Linked DNA regions of Canis lupus familiaris. The main gene of each other region encodes a partner of the protein of the gene in region 2 in a complex. Links are inferred from orthologs where the notes say so. Each region holds a gene or a part of one and is shown on either strand. Other genes may lie near its edges.

Region 1 (3,652 bases), on a different chromosome or scaffold from region 2:
AGTGCCGCCTTCAGCCCATGTCGTGATCCCGGGGTCCTGGGATCGAGTCCCACGTCAGGCTCTCTGCATGGAGCCTGCTTCTCCCTCTGCCTGTGTCTTTGCCTGCCCCCCCCCTCTCTCTCTCTGTCTCTCATGAATAAATAAATAAAATCTTAAAAAAAAAATCTAGTTTTGATACGACAGCTTTTCTTACACTTGAAATTGTGAGTTTTCCTCTCTTTCATCTCCCACTTCCAGAGATAGCAGATATTTCACTGGACATAGAAAATCTCAGATTACTAGAACTCAGAATGGCTGTGGAAACAGTGGTCATGTTGGAAATGTGGTTGAATTCCTCCTCCTGACCATGTATCCCTCCAGTAGCACTTTTTTTTTCCAGTAGCACATTTCTTATACTACGATCTTGGAACTGCTTTAGAACAGAGTTGGCAAATTTGTGGGCCAAATCCCTGTTTCTGTGAGATATATAAACTACGAATAATTTTTATATATATATATTTTTAATTTTTATAATTTTTATATTTTTAAAGGGTTTCTTTCTCTTTTTTTAGGGTTTCTTTATTTAAAAAAAGCTTGTAAAAGGCTTAAAAGTATTTACTGGCCTTTTGCAGATAATTTGACAATGTTTTCTCTAGTTTGAACAAAAACTGGACTTCTTATGGAGAACAACAACAGATGAGTACTATAGTTATGTGAGAGGTAGCTCATGGATGGCTTTGGGGTGTTAGTGATAGTAAGAATGTAAAAAAAAATTTTTTAAGAAAGCATTTTCATTTATTTGGACACTTAAATTTTTTTTTTTTTTTTAAGTGGGTTCCACACTGGGCAGACTAGAGCCCAGTGTAGGGCTTGAACTCCCGACCCTGAGATCAAGACCCAAGCTGAAGTCAGGAGTTGGACATCAACTGACTGAGCCACCCAGGCACCCCTAAGAATCCTTTTTTGGAATGCCTGCTTTGTACTAGACACAGGATAAGGTACTTGCCCATATGACTTTCATGTGGCCTTTGCAGATTTTTGTAGGAAGGTCTTATTGTCTGCGATTTACACATGATAAAACTAATTCTTAGAAAGGTTGACCAGATCTGACAGTAAATGGCAGAGCCAGAATTCTTGGACTTTCTGACTCTACATCCTCTATATCAGGTGGATAGGCAGGTTTGGTAGTTTTTTGCCCTGTTTGCTTCTGCTTAAACACTGGAATGAATGAAAACCAAACTAGGAGTCCACACCCCAGGGAGTCTTGTAACCTGTAAAGAAAACTTGAGGATTATGATCGTTTCATCTAGAGTTAGAGGTTTAGGGACCCCTGTGTGGTTCAGTCGGTTAAGGTCTGCCTTCAGTTCAGGTCATGATCTCGGGGTCCTGGGATTGAGCCCCACACCGGTCTGTGCTTAGTGGGGAGTCTGCTTCTTCCTCTCCCTCTGCTCTTCTTCCCTGCTCATGTTCCCCCCCACCTTGCTCTCACTTTCTCAAATAAATACATTTTTAAAATCTTTAAGAAAAAAAAAGTTTTAGGCTTTTTGAACCCTGAAGTGTCCCTATTCATGTGTATTTTAATGCATGGTAAGATGTACCATTGATGATAGCAGTAATGTCTAATGAATAAAGGCGTTTATTCAACAAATGAAATAGTGTGTTAATCCAAAGCTGCATAGTTGAAAATAGTCTCATTTAATTTATTAACCTAAACTTTCCAGTATATTTTTAGTCTTCAATTTATATATTTTTCTTAGGTACCTCAAATCAGAAAAATTGAAGTAAAAAGCTAGAAATAAAGTCCTTTTCTATTGTTTATTCCTATCTAGTTCATTAAGTATTCATTACTGTTTTTATTTTTATTCTTTTTAAAGATTTTTTATTTATTTATTCATAGACACAGAGAGAGAGGCAGAGACACAGGCAGAGGGAGAGAAGCAGGCTCCATGCAGAGAGCTTGACGTGTGACTCGATCCTGGGTTTCCAGGATCACGCCCTGGGCTGCAGGCAGCACTAAACCGCTGAGCTACCGAGGCTGCCCTCATTACTGTTTTTAAAGTTCTTATATTAATGCATTAACTGGAGTTTTTTTGGTTTTACAGGAATTCTTTTCAAAGAAGTCAGATTGTTCTTTATTTATGTTTGGCTCCCATAATAAGAAGCGGCCAAATAATCTAGTAATAGGTAAATATCATTTACTTTATAAATACTGTTATTTACAGCTTGTGACTCAGAATAATTGATGGTATTGCGGGTTCAGGAGTAACAAGTGAGTGCTAAGCTAGTTTTTTAACATTTCTTTGTGAAAATGTTTCCTTTTTTCTCTCTCTTTTTTTTTTCCTTCTTGTGACTTTGAATAAAATTTTTTATCTACCAGACTGCAGGTAAAGAATAGGCATGTAAATACTACTTCACCTAAATTTGCAGAAATTTTCCTAATATAAAACATATGTACCTCTTAAATCAGTGTTAGAGAAAAAAACAAAGTAGTACACCTAGCCATATAAATTAACCCTTCCCTGGTAAGTATTGACACTTGGTCTGGCATAGTCACTGGTGTAAGCAAGTCCCTTTCCCTCTGTGGGCCTTTATTTACTCATAAAATAAGGGAGTTTGGTTAAATGATTTTTAAGATTCTTTCAAGGCCAAGACTGCAACAATTTATTTATTCTAGATAGAATTGAAAGCTTAAGAAAGAGGGAACATATTTGGTGGGGCCTAAGAAGAAAAAAAGAGGCAGATTCTAACATTTTGAACATGCCAGTTTGAACATACCATTAAAGTTGGATGTTTGGGAAAAATAAATGCTAACAAGAAAATGTATTTTCCTTCGAGGTCGTATGTATGATTACCATGTGCTGGATATGATTGAATTAGGTATCGAGAAGTTTGTCTCTCTAAAAGATGTTAAGGTAAGATAGCATAAAAGTAAAAAGCATTTTGTAATATTGCTCTTGGGCAGTAGTGACATCTTGTGGTGAAGAGTACTGTTACAGTTGTGTAACTTAAATAAGAATACTATTTTTATTCTGTGCTCGGAGATTAAAAAAAAAAAAAGCGAGTTTCATTTTATCTTTTAAAATAAGGTCTGTTGGGACTCCTGGGTGGCTTAGTGGTTGAGCATCTGCCTTCAGCTTGGGGCATGATCCCAGGGTTCTGGGATTGACTCCCACATCGGGCTTCCCACAGGGAACCTGTTTCTTCCTCTGCCTGTGTCTCTGCCTCTCTCTGTGTGTCTCTCATGAATAAATAAATTTTAAAAAATATATATTTTTAAAATATATCTATATCTATATATAGAATATAATACATATGGGGATCTCTATATTTAAAATATATCTATATTTATCTATCTATATATATAGAATATAATACATATGGGGATCTCCTGACAGACTTCAGAGTGATTATTAACTCTTGTCTGGGCCCACAGTTTACATGCTATCCTCTCCCTCTGAATTGTCACAGAACCTATTTTATGGAATTTCAGAAATACCAGAGTTTTAAAAGTGAGCCCCGTTTGAAACCTAGGATACTTTAGCTGATCCTACAGTAAGGCTGCTGGCCACCAGAATGCTAGTTCAGTACTTAAGTTTTGCATCTTTGTGACTCCTTTGTTTGAATGTTATTATAAAATAGAAGGTAGTAAATAGTCTTAGAAAGGCAAGAAAAC
Region 2 (3,652 bases):
TTCCCTCAATCTGGAAACTTCTCCTACCACTACCCTAGCACTGCCTCCCACCACTTGTTCTTTTTTTCTTTCTTTTTTTTTTTTTTAAGTAAGCTCTAGACCCAACATGGGGTTTGATCTCATGATCTTGAGATGAAGAGTCACATGCTGTACTGACTGGCCCAGCCCTACTACCACCTGTTTTTACCTCAGCTCCTGGGGTCGGCTGTCTCACAGTATCCAACCTTCTGGATTTGTCTGATTGCTTCCTTGTGGTGTGAAGCTTTGTTCCTTTATTCTCTGTGTTTTCTACAAACTGAAAGTTAGATCTAAAGGCTAGATTAGATTCAGAAATAGGTTAATCTTTTTAATAAAACTACTTCATAGGTGATACTGTGTGCCTCATAATTTATTACATCTTATTAACTCTAAATACTATTCTAGAGGTTATCTAGATTACTTAAATTTAGATAAGAAAATTAAGTAGGTAATGGACTTTCTAAGAGCCAGCTTGTTATTTACATCACAGCTGGAGTTTGAACTTGCTGTTCTTAACATTTCCACTCTCCCACCAATAATACCAGATGTGCCCATCACCCTTAAGACATAAAGGGTGAAGCAGAACAGCCAAAACAAAATAAGTTTACCCTTGAAAAGTTCCTTGCAGATTGGGAATGACCTGTTCATTAGCTAGCTAATCATAAAAGGATAGATGGGTGCTAAACATCATCACTGGGAAGCAGAATGAGATTTAATGTTTTTATTTTTAATTGTCCTAGCGTGTTTTTCATACAATTTTATTTTTTTATCTAATTTTAAAAGCATATTTTTTTTTTGGTTACAGCTATATATCTGCATTTTAACACCATGGAGAAAGCCTTTTTGAGGGAGATAGAGGGGAAATTTTAATTTCTAAAACCAACCTTTCATAAAACCAATCATCATTTATGTATTTTAATTTATATTATTTAGGAATGTAAACTCTAATATACTTAATTTATCTTGTTGATATTATACTTGGTGTATTTATAAATATATGTGAAGTCTTTAATTCTTTCAAAGTTTTAATTTGTCTCTGGCATTTCTAAATTTTAAGATACCATGCGTGAACGGTTGCCACATTTAAAGTTAGTATTTATTTTGGAAACTGATGTTAGAATACTGGACAATAACAGCATGTATTATTGACTCCAGACCATTGGATGCTTTCTGCTTGAGGTTGCCACCAAAGATCCCTCCCTTGTGGTGGCAGGAGAAGCCTTGGATGCCCTCTTCGATGTTTTTGCAGATGGTAAAGAAGCTGAAAGGGCCTCAGTTCAAATTAAATTGTTATCTGCTCTGAAAGAATTCCAGCCAGTCTTCAAAATGAAGGTATGTAGCTCTTTTGTGTAGAAATGCTTTGGTCTCACCATCCTCCAAGAAGGGAGTATATGCAGTTCCCTCCATACACTCCCAGTGATTCATAGAGTGCTTCATCCATGGAACTGAAGAATGCTTGTTGGCTGAGTCAGAGCTCAGGCCTTTGTGTTGAATCACTGTGACTTGGGCCAAAATGGTGTGGGCAGGGTTCCTTTTCTATAAGAGTTCAGTAATACTAACAGTGCTTATGGAGAAGCAGTCTAGTCTGTGACCTGCAAAGCACTTTCATGTACATACAAATTTTTTTTATATCATTATAGGTGATAAATTAGAACTTGATTTTAATGTTAGGAATAGTTCCCTTTGGTGCTCCATGCTGGTCTTTTTTTTTTTTTTTTTTTTTTCCATGCTGGTCTTTATCAAAGAATGTAGCTACCTTCATTTGCCCTTTTATTTATTTTTTGTTTCACTAGAAACATCAAAGCTAATTTTGAATCAAAAAGTAATTTTCAAGGGCACCTGGGTGGCTCAGTCAGTTAAGCATCTGCCTTTGGCTCAGTTCATGATCCCGGGATCCTGGGATCAAGCCCTGTGTGAGGCTCCCTGCTCAGTAGTGAGCCTGCTTCTTCCTCTCCCTCTGCCTTTTTCCCCTGCTTGTGCTCTCTTACTCTCTGTCAAATAAATACATTTATTTATTATTATTTTTTAAAGATTTATTTATTCATGATAGAGTGAGAGAGGCAAAGACACAGGCAGAGGGAGAAGCAGGCTCCCTGCAGGGAACTCAATGCAGTACTCGATCCGGGGACTCCGGGATCACGCTCTGGAGTGAAGGCAGGCGCCAAGCCGTTGAGCCACCCAGGCATCATTTACTTTTAAATCTTTGTCAAGAGGGATCTCGGGCAGCCCGGGTGGCTCAGTGGTTTAGTGCCACATTCAGCCCAGGGCCTGATCCTAGAGACCCAGGATCGAGTCCCATGTCGGGCTCCCTGCATGGAGCCTGCTTCTCCCTCTGCCTGTGTCTCTGCTTCTCTCTCTCTCTTTCTTTCTCTCTCTCATGAATAAATAAAATCTTTAAAAAAAAATAAATCTTTGTCAAGAAAATAGAAGTTTGGATGAGAAATTAGCTTACTTCTGTTGTTTTCCAGTATGTATTTGTTTTGTTAAATTTTTTTTGAGAATGAGAGTAGGAGAAGCAGAGGGAGAGGGACAAGCAGACTCTATGCTGAGTTTGGAGCCAGATGCGGGGTGATCTCATGACCCTGAGATTATGACCTGAGCTGAAACCAGCAGTCAGAAGCTTAACTGACTGAGCTACCCAGGTGCCCCCAATGTGTATTGCTTTCTTCTAACAAGCTTCTAATACAGAATTGATTGCTCAAGGAGAGAACTCTGTGATGACTTTTTAGGAGACTATGATTGTATGTCTAGTAATTTCAATTTTCTGAAGTTTTTTAAGGCATAAGAACTAGTTTTCTTTAGAAAACTAGCAACACACACCATGTACATTCTAAATTGTAGGCCCGTCTAAAGTCAGTGTTGATTTAAGGACAGCAGTGTTGGTTTGTTTTTAACATTTTCATATTTTGCTATCTTATATTTAAAAATGTCATCTTAGTGGCTGACATTTATTGAGTTAAGTTTCACCAATAGGTAACTTAAGTCTGGGGAAAAAACTTCAACAGTTTACCTTAATTACAGTTTGTTCAAACCTATAGGTTTTTTTTTGTTTTTTGTTTAATTGAAATACAATTGATGTATAACATTGTATTAGTTTTAGGTGTATAGCTTAATGGTTTGATACATGTACATGTTGGGAAATAATTCCCAGAAAAAGTTTAGTTAAATCCATCACCACACATAGGAGGACATTTTTTTTCTTGCGATGAGAACTTTTCAGGTCTACTCCTAGTAACTTCCAAATTTACAATCAGTCGCCATGCTGAACGTTACATCCCTGTGACTTACTTAGCTTATAATTGGAAGTTTGTGCCTTTTTTTTTTTTTTTTTTGGAAGTTTTGGAAGTTTGTGCCTTTTGACCCTCTTCACCCATGTTTGTCTATTTTTTAAGCAGTGAGAGGTTTTACTGTTTATCATCAGTAAACAAATTGAGTGATATCTCTCCATGTAAAGGCAGATGTGCATTAGTATTTTACCCCCTTTCTTTTCCAAAAGGTAGCCTAATATATTCACAACCCTGCACTTTGTGTTTTCTCTTAACACGATCTCCTAGATGTATTTCCATACCAGTACATGGTGGGCATCCACAGGGTTCTTAAAGGGTGCAGGCAGGCCCTTGAAACATCTGAAAAA

What was found. Proteins that work in one complex are often made in the same cells at the same time.
Region 1: HEATR3 (region 2) and RPF2 share a complex: the UniProt entries of both Homo sapiens proteins name them as parts of the hexameric 5S RNP precursor complex. The link is inferred for Canis lupus familiaris from reciprocal best matches to the Homo sapiens genes HEATR3 and RPF2.

Annotation. Positions count from the first base shown.
Region 1 is NC_049233.1:67,884,048-67,887,699, forward strand, and holds part of RPF2 (ribosome production factor 2 homolog), read left to right. Parts: intron 1-2,081; coding exon 2,082-2,163; intron 2,164-2,814; coding exon 2,815-2,891; intron 2,892-3,652. UniProt on the Homo sapiens protein: Involved in ribosomal large subunit assembly. May regulate the localization of the 5S RNP/5S ribonucleoprotein particle to the nucleolus.
Region 2 is NC_049223.1:64,457,105-64,460,756, reverse strand, and holds part of HEATR3 (HEAT repeat-containing protein 3), read left to right. Parts: intron 1-1,173; coding exon 1,174-1,350; intron 1,351-3,652. UniProt on the Homo sapiens protein: Plays a role in ribosome biogenesis and in nuclear import of the 60S ribosomal protein L5/large ribosomal subunit protein uL18 (RPL5). Required for proper erythrocyte maturation.